Linked DNA regions of Oryzias latipes. Each later gene encodes a partner of the first gene's protein in a complex. Links are inferred from orthologs where the notes say so. Each region holds a gene or a part of one and is shown in the gene's direction. Other genes may lie near its edges. The genes, in order: mtor, mapkap1, deptor and rptor.

The links.
Region 2: mtor (region 1) and mapkap1 share a complex: the UniProt entries of both Homo sapiens proteins name them as parts of the mechanistic target of rapamycin complex. The link is inferred for Oryzias latipes from reciprocal best matches to the Homo sapiens genes MTOR and MAPKAP1.
Region 3: the proteins of mtor (region 1) and deptor are in contact, whole or in part, in a cryo-EM structure (PDB 7PEC), measured with the Homo sapiens proteins. The link is inferred for Oryzias latipes from reciprocal best matches to the Homo sapiens genes MTOR and DEPTOR. Residues at the interface, in NP_001373429.1 of Homo sapiens: Met304, Gly305, Phe306, His1494, Cys1498, Trp1501, Gln1525, Asp1527, Ser1528, Glu1530, Glu1531, Cys1534, Met1535, Ile1536, Arg1538, Arg1547, Gln1554, Leu1556, Leu1559, Gln1562, Cys1563, Lys1566, Arg1683, Leu1685, Asp1686, His1687, Lys1710, Ile1711, Phe1714, Gln1715; in NP_073620.2 of Homo sapiens: Arg54, His56, Leu57, Lys58, Thr59, Tyr60, Pro61, Val101, Arg116, Lys119, Asp121, Gly122, Thr123, Phe124, Lys131, Ala132, Arg135, Arg138, Lys142, Glu177, Gly178, Glu179, Glu185, Cys304, Asn305, Lys307, Gly335, Asp336, Ala337, Val338.
Region 4: the proteins of mtor (region 1) and rptor are in contact, whole or in part, in a cryo-EM structure (PDB 6BCU), measured with the Homo sapiens proteins. The link is inferred for Oryzias latipes from reciprocal best matches to the Homo sapiens genes MTOR and RPTOR. Residues at the interface, in NP_001373429.1 of Homo sapiens: His597, Thr600, Pro632, Val644, Ser645, Gln646, Thr647, Ala648, Val649, Ala653, His686, Ala688, Gln689, Glu691, Met721, Asn722, Pro723, Ala724, Phe725, Met727, Pro728, Phe729, Arg731, Lys732, Leu734, Ile735, Leu738, Thr739, His743, Tyr771; in NP_065812.1 of Homo sapiens: Phe278, Lys282, Cys283, Ser285, Leu286, Pro288, Gln380, Ala381, Asp383, Leu384, Asp387, Glu411, Gln412, Thr414, Ala415, Val418, Trp419, Thr421, Met422, Arg427, Asn428, Glu431, Gln432, Lys973, Ile974, Asp979, Leu980, Glu981, Ser982, Lys986.

The regions. Positions count from the first base shown.
Region 1 is NC_019865.2:1,195,896-1,200,008, reverse strand, and holds part of mtor (serine/threonine-protein kinase mTOR), read left to right. Parts: intron 1-850; coding exon 851-1,018; intron 1,019-2,121; coding exon 2,122-2,234; intron 2,235-3,126; coding exon 3,127-3,289; intron 3,290-3,734; coding exon 3,735-3,827; intron 3,828-4,113. UniProt on the Homo sapiens protein: Serine/threonine protein kinase which is a central regulator of cellular metabolism, growth and survival in response to hormones, growth factors, nutrients, energy and stress signals.
Region 2 is NC_019870.2:25,040,613-25,045,168, forward strand, and holds the start of mapkap1 (target of rapamycin complex 2 subunit MAPKAP1), read left to right. Parts: upstream 1-1,264; 5' UTR 1,265-1,450; intron 1,451-4,166; 5' UTR 4,167-4,335; coding exon 4,336-4,556. UniProt on the Homo sapiens protein: Component of the mechanistic target of rapamycin complex 2 (mTORC2), which transduces signals from growth factors to pathways involved in proliferation, cytoskeletal organization, lipogenesis and anabolic output.
Region 3 is NC_019874.2:10,131,142-10,135,254, forward strand, and holds part of deptor (DEP domain-containing mTOR-interacting protein), read left to right. Parts: intron 1-155; coding exon 156-226; intron 227-405; coding exon 406-510; intron 511-4,113. UniProt on the Homo sapiens protein: Negative regulator of the mTORC1 and mTORC2 complexes: inhibits the protein kinase activity of MTOR, thereby inactivating both complexes. DEPTOR inhibits mTORC1 and mTORC2 to induce autophagy.
Region 4 is NC_019859.2:4,585,085-4,589,197, reverse strand, and holds part of rptor (regulatory-associated protein of mTOR), read left to right. Parts: intron 1-474; coding exon 475-615; intron 616-2,227; coding exon 2,228-2,348; intron 2,349-2,579; coding exon 2,580-2,648; intron 2,649-2,914; coding exon 2,915-3,055; intron 3,056-4,113. UniProt on the Homo sapiens protein: Component of the mechanistic target of rapamycin complex 1 (mTORC1), an evolutionarily conserved central nutrient sensor that stimulates anabolic reactions and macromolecule biosynthesis to promote cellular biomass generation and growth.

The DNA.
Region 1 (4,113 bases):
TGTGGCCTTCCAACAAGCTCACTCCTGATTGGCCAGAAGTGGTGGCCATAGAATTGATGACTCATAGCGACTCAGACCAATCACTACTTGCTGACGACGTCTGGCTCCAACATCTAATCTATCCCACAATTATGCAGACTAATTGACTTTTCTTCTTGTATCTCTATTTCTTTGACGTCACCCTGATGGACAAATATCTGTTATGAAGACCTCTCCAAGGCTTTATTCTTTATTTTTTTACCCTCCAATCAATCTATAAATTAACATCTTAAATGGATTTGATAGTTCTATAGTCTTTTTCCTTTATTTTTATCTCTGAAAATAGCTTCAAATCAACAAATCACTGAAGTTCTATGTAAATGTTAAAGTATTAAGACACACAGAAAGACTTCAAAGTACGAAATTCTCTTTACGTTGATTTTATTGAAGCGTTTATTTTGAGGCATTGCTGTGCGTCAATGTGATCGAACCAAGAAAAGAAGCAGCAGGTTCCCAGGGTTCAAGATCCTCAACAGCAAGACAAAAATAAACTGAAAGGATCCAATCCTGCCTTTAAGTTTGCACAGAAGCGTCTCAGCATCTTGTGAGGATCTCCTGCAGTTGTGTGGATCCAGGCTGGAAGGGTGTGGGTTGTGTTTGTGTCGGGTTGTGTTGCCGTTGGCGTTGGGTTGTGTTTTGTCTTTGTGAGGTTTGTTACCAAATGCTGGTCTGGTCCGTCTCCCGCTGTAAACGGGACAGGGGAATGAAGAAAGATCACAGGCTGTTGGCATTTAATGTTAAACTAATGTTTGTGTGATTCAACACTGAAGAACACAGCAAATGACACCAGAACTGGGCTTCTGTGCTGCAGGAGTACTGGACTCCCAACAACCCCATGCAGAACACCATCATCCTCCTGATCGAGCAGATTGTGGTGGCGCTCGGTGGAGAGTTCAAGCTCTACCTGCCTCAGCTCATCCCACACATGCTGCGCGTTTTCATGCACGACAACAGCACCGGCCGCAGCGTAACCATCAAGGTGGGTGTTTCCGCGTGCTGGAGCTCTGTGCTGCTGCTGTTGAGCTGTGTTTTCTAACGGTCCTGTGAGGTTTTCTCCAACTGTGGTATCTGTCCGTGTATAGATCTATGCACTGAGCCTTAGTAGGTCGGTTCTCCTTCTTCCTGTCACCGAGACTAACATGCCTGCTGAGCAGCTCCCTGTTGGAACTGACCCCAGCAGGGACCTGCAGCATGCACAGCAGTCCTGTGGGGGCCCTTCCTCCCGCCTGCATGTGACCCGTAACAGTCCTAAGATGCATCCATGAGGTTCAACCTCCAAAACGTCAATACAGGTCTTTGCAGATTCCGTCCAGAACAGTTTCAAATGGTCCTCCTTCACTCCATGCTCCTGCAGAACCACAGATCAGTTTACCGCCAACTTACTGAGGCTCTGACCAGAGCCAGTCACCCCCCCCCCCCCCCCACCAACCCCCAGCTTTAGTGCATCAGTAAAAACTCCATGGACCTGCAGCACTGCAGCTTTACTGGAGTTTGTGGGAATCCGTTTGGTTCTGTCTGGTCTGCAGAGTCTGTAATTGCAGTTCATGGATTCACGGGGGCGGCAGAGGGGGTGTCAGGTTCTGGTCCAAAGGAAAAGGAAAACAAACTTTTCCATTTTTTTCAAATCTTTTTCAGCTCCCACCCCCACCCCCCCCATCCTACAGCATATCCATAAATACTCGTACGCCTTCACTTCAGCTTCCTGCCGTCTCGCCATGTGCCCTTTAGACATAGGCTGCTGGGGGGGGCAGAGATGCTGGGAGGGGGGTTGTCTGCAGCATACGTCATCCTTTTAAGACCCCAGAGTGTCTGCATTCTTCACACAAGGATTTTTACTGTAGAACCAAAAAGGCCTATACTGTTCTGGAAAGTTTTCCCATGATCCTTTGCTCCTCTCATATCACTTTTACCAGATGAACCAGAGTTTATTTCAAACCATATATTGAACTTTTTACAGGATTTGGATGACTTTAGAGTCATTAACTCTTCCTTTGACTCCTCGTGGGGGGGGGGCGGGTGAGGGGTGTGTGTGTGTGTGGGGGGGGGGGGGGTTTGGAGTCTTCATCCATGTTGTTCTTGCAGCTGCTAAATGCCATCCAGCTGTTTGGTGCTAACCTGGACGACTACCTTCACCTGCTGCTGCCCCCCATTGTCAAACTATTTGATGCCCCCGACGTTCCCCTGCAGGCCCGCAAGTGAGTTCTGACTTTCATCCCATATGGAGTGACATCTCACGTTGTAGTGGCAAATGAAAATATTAAATATTTGCTTTCAAATAAAATGTTTCCGTTTGCAACACAAATGTTTTCTCATGCGTTGTGACTCATCTCGCTGTTTTCCTATCTTTGATTTTGCTCTCATAAGTTTGTTTAGCTGACAAAGCTGCCATCAAACGGAAAAGAAAAATTGAAAGCAAAGAAAAATAATTTGACAGCAAATATTTAATATTTTTATTTGCAACCTGAAGAGTTTTGTGTGCAACGCGGCGGCATAAATACAGCTCCATAGGAATGCCGTGTTCCCTCGCTGTATCGCGGTCCACCTTTCACCGTCTCGCTCTTTCACAGACTTTTATTCTGGAAAATGTTGGATCCTTTTATTATTGTTTTTTAATTTTGCATTGCGTTCTGTGTCCTGATTGGCTGTAGACTTTGTCAATCAATCCGTGTCATTGGCTAAATCTTCGATCATGATCAGATCTATGTTTCTGGACGGTTTTTTCCATGAAGGTTTGAACTTTGAGAGTCTTTAACCAAAAGAGAAAAGTGTGGAAAATGTTGAGGTCTGCCTGAGAAGAGTGTAGAAAGTGTGCAGCGTTGAGTTAAACATCTATGCTGCTTCACAGATTCATCGGTCGCGGGTCATTTTTAGGACGTATGCCTGCTAAAACGAGGGAACGCTGTAAATGAAAGTAAACTGTGACGTGAGAAGAACCAGGTGTGGATGATACGGAGCTAAAAGCAGGCGTTTCCTGGTGGTTCCTGTTCTTTCATGTAGAGAGCGGCGCTAAAGCGCCTCAGATAGCTCTGTTTGTGAGCACGTTTTCATGTGAACCGGATCGGTTTCCTGTTTTCTTGTGTGGTTCAGGGTTGCCTTGGAGACCCTCGACAGGCTGACGGAGTCCCTGGACTTCACAGACTACGCTTCTCGCATCATTCACCCCATCGTTAGGGCGCTTGACAGCACTCCTGAGTTACGGTCCACCTCCATGGACACCCTGTCCTCACTGGTTTTCCAGTTGGGAAAGAAGGTAGGCACATTGGTCCCTGGAGTGTGCTGTTATTCTGTAGGCCGGCCTCTACTCTGTTGGCCAGACATGAACCAGGTTTCCGTAACCCTCCTCAGTCTCTGCTACTTCCTGCCAGACTAATGATGTCACAGACTGTTTGCCAGCAGGGGGTGTTGTTTATGAGAGTGGATGAGGACACATGTACCCTGGGCTCTCAAGACCCTTCTCCTCTTCACTCTTTTTATTGTCCTGAGGTCTAACCTCAGAACCACCAGGCCTCCTTCCAGTCATGACTGGCAGCAAAGCCACAGGAAAGGCTTTTGATCCGTCACTCATGGAGGTTGCATGTTAGTGCCGCATGGCCCTCTATTTACTTTATGGAGAAAGGAAAAAACTGTAGCTGGGCCCACCGCATCAAGCATGTGTAGTCTTTGTTTACATGGCCTCTCTTTCTGCTTATTTTCAGTACCAGATATTTATCCCCATGGTGAACAAAGTGATGCTGAAGCACAGGATCAATCACCAGCGCTACGACATTCTCATATGCCGCATTGTGAAAGTAAGTTCTTCTGCTTTCTGGAAATGTACTCAGAGTTATTGGGACTGAATTTGGGGGATTTGTCTCCGGTTCCCGGAGGTCCAAATATCAGGACGTAAACTTCTCCTCGGGATTTGACCATGAATGTCTTAATCTAAAGAAGAGATCTTCCCTGTCAGCTTCTCCTGGAGGTATTGATGTCTGGGAAGTTCAGCAGAGATCCTGACTGCCCATCTTTAATGAAAATGTTGTTTTTAACACGTTCTTGTGGTTATGGAGGATAAAAGACTAAATTGCATTTAGTCTT
Region 2 (4,556 bases), on another chromosome or scaffold:
AGGCTCCGATTCATTTGTTCTATGGTTTATAAGGGGGACGCAGACAAATGAGGAAAAAGAAATTCAGGAACAAAACACAGCGCAGAATAGGGATGCTTTAAAACTCATTTTACCACGTGGTTTCATCATTAAAGCGGATTGTGGAGAAAGCATTTTTGCATCCTCAAAGCAAACCATACTGTGGGGCTGAAAAGGTTCAAGCCAATGATAATTGTGTTTGGTTTTAACGTGTTCTTTTAACATTTCTCTGATGATTGAGGAAATGTATAGAGAACATTTAGCTCAAAACTGCATTTTTTTGTATTTCTTTATTCAAATTGTTGTGAATCAGGAGCAGACGAAAAAGTTCTGTTAGGTAATGTTTGCAATGTGGTTACATAAATATACTTTTATGTTTGTGTATATATATATCCAGACAAATACCAGTAGATCCAATTTTTTTACTGTAAGATTGGATAAAGGCACAGGCAGTGGGGGGCAATGCCCCCCTAAATACAGTGACTGCCCCCTAAATGTGATGGGCCACAAAAATCCACAAATAACTACAGGAATAAAAAAATAAAACAACTACAAGTCAAAAAAATGTAAGTATTTATGTATATGGAAGGACACACAGGCAAAGATACATAAAAAGAAAAAGGGTAGTGGTAGAGGGTGGTCTTCTTCAAACTGCTCCTGATTCCAAACAATTTGAATAAATAAACACTCAGAAATGCCATTTTAAGCTGAATTTTCATTATGGATGTCCTCTATCATCAGAAAAATGAGAACATGAACATGTCAAAAACATGTTCTTGTGGCAAAAAATAAGAATTTCACCAGAGTGGGTCTTTAAAGAGAGAGATGGAAATCTGTTGACAGGTTCCACAAGTGTAATGGAAAGATGGAAGAACTTTGAAGATCTCAAAAATATCCATGTAAATAGAAAAGGTTCTTGCAAATTTTTGCTGCGATAATTCTTTTTACTCATGATCGCACGATTTTGCAGCCACATTTCTATTTCATGTGATGATACTTTGAACTTGCAAAAGCATAATTTTATCTTGCTCTGGCATCTCTCTCTCTTTTTTAACTTTTCTTTATTTTTTCACTTTCTAGTGTGAAGTGCATTTGGATGTGTGCACAACATTTTGTAAACGCTGAAATACTAGTAAGGAATAAAGGTGCATATAATTCAGTGTTCCTTTACTTTCACTGCCTCGGTCAGTGAACTGCTCTTGTGCGTGTTTTTCGTTTGGTGGCTCTTTTATTGTGAAGAGATTACACCGGAAGTCAAAAGGATGTCTTCCTGGTTGCACGAGCGCAGCAGATTGCATTGGCTTTCGGTTGTTTTGAGACTTTAATGCATTGAATTGTTTTTCACGGATGTAACGACTCGTCGGCCAAATAAGTAGACTGGATGAGATGGAGGGACGTGGACTCTGCTGTGTCTCGTCAGAAAAACGTAGAGGTGGGATCTTCTTTCTGTTCATACCACTGCTATTGCTAACTGACTCGGGAGAGATAATCGTTAGCTTGAGTTTAGTCACCGCTAACCGACTGTAATGCGATCTGTAAGCTGTTCCTGTCATGTTACACGCTTATAAAGTATGAATCACTTCAGTCTGTAGATCCTCCTGCTACTTTTTGGAGCAGCTGAAATGGATTTTGTTGTAATTCAGCTGGTTTAAGTGAGCCATTTTGGTTAGGAAAACAAGGTGCTGCTAACGCAAAACATGATGATGATCTGATAAATGTACACAGAACTTTTTAATCCGATTGTTTAACTTCTACCTTCTTAAAATGATAAACTCCGACACAAATTTGTATTTACTGACATGTGGTGTTTGTTTCAGTTGTGTCGTGTGTTTTACACGAGCGTGTTTTTCCTGTGAGAACTTTCCCCAGATAAGACTGTGTCCTCAGCTGAAATGACCGTCAGACATCATTTACAGCTGTTACAGTGGGAACTGTTACGTCATCACAGTGATTTCTGTGCTCATAATCCGTTTTCTTGATGGTGAAGTGTTCTTCTCAGCTGCCCATGCGCTCAGCGCCGTCATCTGCCTGTTGTAGCTGTCAACATCCGTGTTTAGACTAAACACTGTGAACAAACTTCGTGTTTTCAGATGTGACACGACTTCTGATTCTTCAAAAAAAAAAAAGTTAGCGTTGTGCCCAAACACTAAAAAACACTGGCATTTGTCTGATGATAGAGGACATATATAAAGAAAATTAGGCTCAAAACTGTATTTCTGAGTATTTCTGTGTTCACGTAGTTGTGAATCAGGAGCAGACAAAGAAATGCTGTTAGAAAAAGCTTGTTGTAACTGAAGCTACTGCAGAAAGCCACAAGCTTCCTGCCCCTCCTCATTCTAATGCATCCACTCATGGACAACTTGTTCCATGTACATCTTTGTTTTCCCTGTCTGAGCTGGAATCTGGATCAAAACTGTATGGCTGGACAGCGCCAATATTGCTCACCATTTTTATCGCAGTGCTCATGTTAAGGCCCGTACACACCGGGACGAATATTCGCCAGGCGTTATTCGCCAGCGTTTTTCGCCACGTTTTTTGTGTTCACACCCAGGCGATTTCCACTGACGATGAGCCGAGCGAACATGCAATTTCCTTCCCTGACATTAGATGGCGCTTAATGTAAACAGAAATACTCCTGTACACAAGGTGGCGCTGCGCAACTTTACGCTTATTAAAGTCGCTTTTCACTCAGAAGAAGAGAGCAAGTATTTACGCGCTTGTCAGAATCAAACAAAGAAAACATGAATATTTCAAGCACCAGTTGCTCCAACTGGTGCTTGGTTCGGGGATATTTTAGAATGTCCGTCATTATTTCTTCGCAGCAGTGTAGACGCTACTTGGCGTCTATCTTCTTCGCTGGTATGTGTGCTCAGCAAGGCAGTTTTGTGTTTGAGCGCCCCCAAGTTGTGTTTTACTGTAACTTCAGAAGCTCCAGACATGTGTGCAAAAGCGCCATTCTCATTGGTCGAATAGATTTCGACGCGACGCGTCGAAAAAAAAAAAACGAACCCGAGGCGTTTTTTTTTTTGACGCTTTGACGCCTGGCGTTTTTTCGCGTCGGTGTGCACACTCCCATTGGTGCCCTTTGTTTAGTCACGAGGCGTTAAACGTCGGCGAAAATCGCCAGCGAAATTCGTCCCGGTGTGAACGGGCCTTTAGGTTGGCGTTGTTAGAGGCTCTAAGCTAGTTGGAGAGACTGTAAACAGATTGGTGACGGGAAGTGGTGGTGGGCTAGCTATGTGCCACTGGTCAACTCAGAGAATCTCTAATGAACTCCTGCTGCTCTGCAGAAACCATGCCATAGAAAACTACACATAAAACAGCATAAACATAAAGAAAGACTTCTGAGAATGCTTTTTGCAATAGATCAAAAGATGATAGGAGCGGGACTTCAACATCAATATTGAAAATAACCAAAAAAACATGGTTCAAATACATTTTGGCAATTGACTGTATAAGAGAACTGGACTTGCCGACCCCTCCCCCTGGTGTTCCTAACAGGAAGTACGCGCTGGCCCCAAGAAGCCAAAATCCTATAGACTTCTATATAGAAATAAACAGCTGTTAATCAGTCATTCTGTTGGTCAGAATAACCATTCTTGCTCCGATACCTTTTTTGAACATGTTCTTGATAATCCTATTTTTTCTAATAATATTTTTTCTTTAGTACAAGCTAATCATGTTATAAACTGACCAATCATGGGTCTCAATAAAAGCGTGTGGCCTCATGTTCAAAGATTGATTAACAGATTTTGTGCAGTCCGCTTTAAGTGGTAGGGGTGTGGCCTTTCAACAAGCTCTCTCTGGATTTGTGAGAGTGGTTGCCATAACAATGTTGACTCTGATTGTCTTAGACCAATCACTCCTTGCTAACATTGTCTGACTCCCAACCTGGCGACGTCCACATTGCAAAAAATGGTGACTGAAGTTACTTCAATTGGTTGGAACCAGAAGTAAGCCAATTTTCTGTGAGTGACGTCACACTTACTCTGTCCAGTTCTCATATTCAGTCAATGAGTTGGATTGACCCACGCATTTCATAGTTCTAAACAAAAAGAAAATCTATATTCACAAACATTTTTCAAAACAAAACAAATATGTTCTAGTTGTCTGTCTGATCGTTTTTCTGGTTGTTTTCCTTTTTACAGGGCCTTTTACATCTTCATCAGTGGACGTGATGGAATAGTAAAGGGCTGAAAATGAAAAACTTGCCCCACTAGCTGCCAAGGTGCGCCGAACAGAAAGTGAGGCCCACGTTATGTGTCCAGGCTCCACGGTGACAAAAAGCTTTACTCTGTCTCACTGAGAACACAGGACATGGCTTTTTTGGACAATCCTGCAATCATTTTGGCCCACATCAGGCAGTCTCATGTGACCAGCGACGACACAGGAATGTGTGAGATGGTCCTCATAGACCAGGATGTTGACCTGGAGAAGTGCCAGCTCACCGTGGTGCCTGGTAGCAGCTGTGGCTCGTCTGGACTGAGCTGTCTCATTGAAGGCGGTGGCAGCGTGATGGATAACCACGTTTGCGACTT
Region 3 (4,113 bases), on another chromosome or scaffold:
CTCTGTCAGCATGTGAGCGGCATCTACATTTACCATCACACTGACACGTGTGTGCATGTGACCTAATGCTTGCCCACATGTGTTTTTTTTATTTTTTTTACTGTTCTACTATTCAGATGTATAGAAAAGAAAGGCATTCTGTGTTTCTCTTACAGTCGTTAAGAGACACGTGACTCCAGAGGAGCTGCAGAAACCAGGAGGATCTTTTGCCAAGAAAACATTCACTGTAGGACACAAACACAGAATGTGCACACACACAAACTGCATCCCGTATTACACAAATGTTTGTGGTCATGAAAAGTTACTTAGACCTCATATCTTGATGTTCTCTCTTGATGTTTAGAAAAAATATTTGTTGCAAAAGGAGTTATATAAAAATAAAGAAACACTCCTGTTGTGTCTCAGATCATCGGCGATGCTGTCGGTTGGGGCTTTGTGGTGCGAGGCAGCAAACCGTGTCACATTCAAGCTGTGGATCCCAGTGGACCGGCAGCTGCTGCTGGCATGAAGGTACGGATGAAAGAAGCATCAGAAAGTCCCAGATACTTTTTCGTGCGCACCAGTTTGCTGCTCATTGCTCTTATGCGCAAAAGCAAAGTATGTGGTGCGGACGAGAAACAAACTGGTGCGCATGTAAGTCCACTCGATTTCTCAGGCACTGGCTTTCACTCAAGTTTGGAGATATGGATCTAAACTTATTAATTCTGCAAGTGTACCAATCTCCAGCTAAATGAGTCTGGAAGGATTGATTGTGGAAGTGAAATGTTTTGCAATGTTTGTGTGTTTTCGTGACGTATTTACAATATTCAGGCATGTTTTTTGAGTGTGACCTACTGCATAAAATGTTATCTATCAAAGTTTGGGCAATAGAAGACTTTGGACAAACTCTTAAGCTTACTCAAATGCTTTAGGTCGGTTTTGTTTCCTACAATCAAAGGAAAGTGAAAAAAAATAAAGATTTTTGTGACGCCCTGACTTGGTTTGTAGAGCAATAGTTAGTATTTTTGGATCTGAGAGGGTTTTTGCCAAACACAGCTAGCTTCACGGTTAAATCAGGGTGTGTGTTTGCCTGGGGGCGGAGCTGGCAGCGCAGACTCTTCTTGGAAGGGGCTGTTCTCACTTGCCTATGTTTCAATGTGAGGACCCGCTCGTTTTTGTGGATTGTGAGGGGCTGGTGCTCAGCTTTTGTACTTTGTTGTACTTTCTTTTTGATGACCTGACTTCTTTCTCATTCGCTTTAAATCTGTCAGTTTAATTTGTTTTTTTGCATCACCATAACCATTATTGAACATCATTATATAATCATATTACTACATATGGCTTTTAGGCTGTAGATGGCAAATTAACTGATCTTGTTTTATGACAAAATTGTAAAAATATTTCTTTCAACTGCTGAAGCAGAAGAGATTTGCAAGGAGAAATAAATAATTATGTGCATACCAGTTCTTTTTGCAGCCAGGTAGCAGCTGTGAGTTCACAATCAAGCTGAATAAATGTTGAGGAAAAACAAAAGGAATATAATTGTAGCCTTGCGGCCTCATAAAGATCTGTGGATAAGAACGACAGCAAGGAATCATTGTAAAGAGGGGGGAAAGTGGACTCATTAAAGCTGCTAAAACCAAGAGAAAAAAGTTTCAGATCAAAGTGGAAATCAAAGACTGGACGAATAGAATGACTGTTATCCTATTAACATCCAAAGAGATCAGCTAAGATTAAAACGTCCCGTACTTTATCCAAGACAGAAAAACAAATCTTCTGGAAAACTGTGACGGATTATCTCTGTTTGCTCCAGAAGAAAGAGGCCACAGGCTCCACAGTGGCTTTAATGATTGACTGAGGGACAGGAGGCGTAGTTGTGGAAGATGAGGAAATACAGAGATGTGGCGGAGGGTAAACACGCCGCTTCGAAAGAGGAAACGAGGAAAGAAATGATATCAGTTCTTCTCTGCTTTACATGTTTATATTTGCGATCGGTTCTGTTGAGCTGTTTTCACGGCTCTGCAGCGGGCTGTGCCTGAAACGGAGTTGTGCGCTCATCCTCGCAGCCAGCTCTGGTTTCACGTCCGCCGGGCACTTTGGCTGAGGAATCCTGCACACAGAGGGATCGTGGAGATTGTAAAGTGTTGGCTCAGAAGCCTCAGCATGGGGACAAAGGGGAAACACACACCCATAGAAATTCGATTGCAGACCATAAAAAAAAATTTAAACCACTTTCATACCCACTCAGACTTCGAAAGTCGCTTAATATGGTCTGATTTATTCTACTTTCAACACAACATGAATAATATTGTTTTTGTACAACAACATAACATAAGATATAAGAGTAATTTTGAACTAAAAACAAAGTTTATGCATAGATTTCAAATCAACATAAGCTGAAAAACATCACAGTCTTAAAGGAACAGTTTGACATTTTGGCAAACTTTGTTCAATGCTCTCTGGGAGTTTCTTCACCTCACGGTTGCCTGGCAACTCATCTACAAATCCCAGTTTTTGGCTGCAGTCCAGGAGGATAATTTCTGTGTTCCCAGCATATGAGCCTCATGTACTAATTTAAAAAACACAAAAATGTGTATACATGGACAAATACTGACCAGCCATGGCAGACATCGCTGCTTTTGTTTGTTTTCTGTCTTTGTGTAGAAGAGACATTAAAGGAAACATTTCCTTTTATTTGGTTGAACACCATCCAAAAGCAGGAACTCTAGGAAAATGAGAGTAGCAGAAGGAGAGGCTGAGGAGGAGGTGGAGGAGATGCTTCAACAGATTGAAGCAGTTAGAACTAACAGACTTTTGACAGCTTTTTTCTTGGAAGAGGAACCAGACTCTCCCCCTCTCTTTTTGCTATATTTACTAAAATGGTTCAAAGCATTCGACTCATCCATATCAAGCTTCTTATGGTACAACAAACCAGCAATAATTGGTCTAAAACATTCAAATCTGCAAAAAGCTTTGGAGGCTTAGAGTTACCTAATTTCCACAGCGTCTTTCTTGTAAATAGATTACAATACATCTTAAAATGGTTGAAAACCAATCCAGAAACCAACTCATGGATGGACTTGGAACAGGGGTTATGTGGAAAGATCAACCTGTTAGATCTACCGTTTATCAGCCAAATAACATCAGATTGACCGCGTCGACTCGCATTTATGCGGCCACTTTCAATGAAAATTCCATGCAAACGTGCATAGACCCGAATTTCCGTCTCCCACGTCTGGAACGCCCGTGATCATTTTACGTTTTAAGGCAAGTCGCGGGCTGTATGTGAAAGTTAGGCGTTCATTGATCGCGTGCTGAAAGTTCAATCGGCTGAACTTTATCATGCCTGAACGCTGCAACGCAGCACTGTGACCAATCAGGGACTCGGACTCGAGAGTGACTGGTGGGTAGCGTCTTTTTCAAAACACAGAAGTTCCAACACTTGGAGACATGATCCCGAAGGAGAAATGAATAATTGCCGTTTGTGTCCGGGTGGATTATTATGACACCAAGACGGACATTTACAGTATAGAAACCGAGCTGTGAAAACAAAAGCCCTGAAGTTGGGCTGGGCGGTCAATCGATTAATTGGAATTTCTCAATCAACTACACGTAATCACTGAACTGCTTGACTTTAGACTACTTTTATAGACATAATAAGAGTCACTTTGTATGGAACTTTATTTGTAGTGCCTTTAGAACATTAGAAAGCCGGTGTAGAGCTAAGTTTAGTCGGTCTGCTCTGCTGCTGCGCGGCGTTCACTTGCTGCTCACTTCCAATTTAATCTCGCAAAATTACGAGTTTTTTTCCGTACACCTGCTTACAGAAGAGGATTAGGGCCATGGAGAAAGAAAGAAAAAAAAGGGCATAGAAAATTCTTTCTCAAAATTCTAAAACTCCGTCGCACCGAATAGTTTGAAATTGATTTTTTTTCCGCTGGTAGGAAAAAAAAGTCCTAATTTCCGTTGTGCTGAGGTTAATGCTATTGCTGCGTTTACGTCGTTGTGTTGCGGGTAATTTCGTTGTGCTTTGGGTAATGCCATTGCGTTTTTTCTTTTGTATGTAGTGTGAGCCCTGTCAGCCACCGTACTGCACAGATCAAAGCTTCTGGCCAAAAATTTGTCTTTAAACTG
Region 4 (4,113 bases), on another chromosome or scaffold:
GCTTTTCTGAGAGGGAGTAAAGAAACAGTTATTGTCTTTTATGCATGTTTTTTTCCATATGTCAGAAAAATAGAAGCATAAAGATGTTTACTCTGTTTACTGTCGATGGGCGTGGCCCGCCAAACAAAGCCATCAGGTCTATCCGAGTGGCCACGCCCCCTTCTCTCTGAGAGACTCACTGAAGCAGAGACAAAAGCGTCAATGTTAAAACTCTGCACAAAGAGGCTTCAGGACTAATGATCTCTGCGTTTCACTCTCACGCTGAGCCGGAAAATTGAACTGTAATGACCTCGAATACTTTCATCCACTTGTCTCTATAGTCATTAAAGCATTTTTGTGTGATTCTGGTGAGCAAATATTTGACTTTCAAAGGCTGAAAACTGAGCTCGGACGGGAATTCATTAATGTCATTACAGCCAAGTTCTCCCTGAAGGACAGATAGACGAGCTCTTTGTCTGGTTTGTGTGACTGCAGGTGAGGTGTGCAGCTGTCTTTGCTCTGGGAACATTTGTCGGAAACTCCGGAGAGAGGACGGATCACTCCACCACCATCGACCACAACGTGGCGATGATGCTGGCGCAGCTTATCAATGATGGCAGCCCTGTGGTCCGGAAGGTCTGTGAAGCACAAAAACATCCACATGCTAAGCTCTGTGTGCTGTAATGCTGACTTTAATGCAAAAAATATACATTTAAATCATTAAAAGACAGTTTTTCTGGTGTTTATTCTCTGAGAACAAACGTAGAAATCACATTGCTGGACAAAGACAATTTTCTGACATTTTGGAAACTTCATCAGATGTGTTTGTAGGAATGGGGTGAGTGTTTACCCCTGCCTCCTGAATGCTAACTTAAAAACTAATTACCTCCCAGTTGGAGTCTTAAACTTACAGCCCTGACAGGAGTGAAGCTGCAGAGCTCTCCTCCCACTCTCTACAAATAAAAGCAACATTTCTCTGAAGGTGTAAGCAGCACTTTTAGCACTCCAAAACCATTTGTTTTGAGGAGATTTCTGAGTTAAACTAAGATACTTCCATGTGTGTAACCACAGATAATCAAAGGAAAACATCCGAGACGTGATAACGATTTATACCATGGTCCAGGGGAATACTCGATTCTGATTGGCTGCTGGGTGTGAACTAAAATGTGATAATGGACAGTGATAATGTACACCTAAATATGAAGTTCCGTTCACATAGCCCATATGTTCTGTATCGCTGTACTGGCTTCTTTGAAACAAACTTTTGCTTCATTGTCTGGATAAAAACAAGTGGTGAACCTTACCTCGAAAATTATTCTTTGGATCACTTTTCAGGATTTTTGCACCTTTACTGCTTTCCCCTGCTGGTTAGTCCTCACATCATCTGCAGCAGATTGAGAGGTTCTGTACCCATTACCATGACAATGAGTCACAGCCCATGTTTAAAAGTCTGCTTCTTGTGAAAAACTGATTAAACATTTAAAGGTCTATATCATGACAAAATTCCTTTTTATTAGCTTTTAAGTGTATTATAATGTTCAACCCCAAAGTGGTATTTTGCTCCATTCCAGCATCTCTGAGTATTCCTCTAAAATCCTGCACTCTGAGCACCAGCCCCTCCCAATCCACAAAAACAAGCGGGTCCTCACATTGTGACATCACAAAGTGAGAACAGCCCCTTCCAGGAAGATTTTGCACTGCCATCACGGCTCCCAGGCTAACACACACACTTTCTCAGGGTAGCTAGCTGTGACTGACTAAACATTTTTATTTTATATGTACATCCATCTTTGCAAAAGTTCGGATGTTTGATTTCGTGGGCTCTAGGTTGACGTCACAGGAGAAAAAGGCAGTGCCTCAGAGATCGAGTTTTTACAGTAACTGTAAAAAAATGACTCATATTTAATTAAAAAAAATGTGTTCCTTAGTGTGCCAAAGGTAATATATATTATCATATATTTATCAATATATATATATATATATATATATATATATATATATATATATGGATATGGTTTACTCTGAAAGGCTTAAGAAAAGCATGATATAAGTGTTTAAAAAAAAATCAAGATTGAAGTACTAATAATTTATGTACTATTTATTCCTTTGGTAAGTGGCCATGGTATAAGCAGGAAAAAGCCCTTTGAGAAATTTATGGACTTGACGGAAGCAACCGTCCTACATGACAGGAAGAAAATCTGTTTGGGAGTTACTGGATTCTCTGAATGTGTTTATATTTTTTTTTCAGGAGCTGGTGGTCGCGCTGAGTCACCTGGTGGTTCAGTATGAAAGCAACTTCTGCACAGTTGCCCTCCAGTTTATAGAAGAAGAGAAGAACTACTCGGTGCCGTCACCCGCTAACACTACAGGTACACACCTGGCGACACCAGCGCCTTGTCTCCCAAACTTCATAGCAGCAGCTGCTAAAACATGTCAGCAATCGCAGCTTATGCCATTTCTCCACATTGTTCTGGCAGTTTTTTTCCTCCTCCTTCTGACAAAAACATGACTTGAAAAGGACTTTCCAGTCTGAAACCGTTGAGATGGAGGTGGAGATGAAGCGTGTTTTTCCAAATATGTTTTGCGTTTATCCATCACAGGGTTTAGAATAAATTTAAGGAGGAGCTCAAGGGATCTAAAGCTGGAAATAAGCTTCTCTTCTCAGTCAGGTGTGTAGGGGTTGCAGGGGTAAGTTTATGAGGAAGTTCTACATTCATGGACCACACTTTTGTTTGAAACCTCACTGGGGTTTAATCAACCAATCCTGTTGCTTTATACACCGGGGGAGCACTGAATTCTAGGACAGTAATTACTCTTTTTCCCTAACCTATCCTGTAATTTGGAATCTATTCGTAAATCCTTTTGTGAGAAGAGAAGAGCTTTTTTTTTTTTTTTTTTTTAATGCTCTAACCTGTTGCTGTCTGCTGCTGATTAGAGCCTGGGAACCTCACGCCAGTAAGGGACAGTCCCGCCATCCCCCGCCTGCGATCTGTCAACTCCTACACCAACATCCGAGCTGTCACCACCGCCCGGAATCTGAATAAAAGTCTGCAGAACCTCAATCTCAACGAGGAAGGTGAGACCCCAGGGAAAGCTGGGAAATAGAGGATGAGAGAACATGATAAAGATCACATGTCCGAATTCCCTCGGTACTACTCAAAAGGCAATAAGCAGTAGTGCCAGACTATCCATTATGCATTAATTCAGAAGCACGCTGAATACTTTTTATTTTATTTTTATTTTTTAAGTTTTTTAAATGTCACCTATGACATTAGCCAAACTAAAACCTAGCAAATATTAACATTTGACAAAGACTCAACTGTATCTGATGATGAAAACTTCTATAATTAAATAAATAAATAAACTTCATAAATATTTTTCGTTCAACCACAACGCATAGGTCTATACTCACCAATTTAGTGAGCATCAGTGCGCACAGAGAAATCTCCGGGTCACTGGATGTTAGAATTGTTGATTCGGATTCCGACAAAATGATGAGGGCCTTATAAAGTGCTCTAACCAGGGAGTAGTGAGTGAGTTCAGACACAAACATAACTTTAAAGGAGGGCTACTGAGGATTCAGTTAGTGAAGGAAATAGTAACAATCAGAGTAAAAGATCATCAGAACATTTACTGTACAGATACAGTTGCTGTTTAAAGCCTAAGACTTTCATTATTTTTGCTACAACTTTCTTCTTAAATTAAATGTTGAAGATGATCAGAGTTTGGGGTTGATGTGGCTTTAAACACTTTTGTTCTGAGAGTCTTTCCCCCCCCCAGATTTCTGCAACTATAAATTACTTTTGCCATCTATTTTGCATTTTTACTTAACAGCAGTTATCGTTAAACCTCGTTTTCACCAGTCCGGTTTAGCTAACAACAACAATAGAGGTCATCCAGCAGCTCATTTTTCTCTGCTTGTCTTTTGGTACTTCAAGTAGATTAAGGAATGCTGTTTGAGAGAAGTTTGCCGGCGGTGAAGAGGAGTTCAGCAGCTTTTTTTGGTGCCTTCATTTGTTGTAATCACTTTCAGCCAATCAACGGGTTTCAATAGCAGCTTCGCCCCAACTATTTTTCTGTGGACCTATAAACGACCGGGGCCCAAAAATAATACGACTCACTCCAGCTTAATGG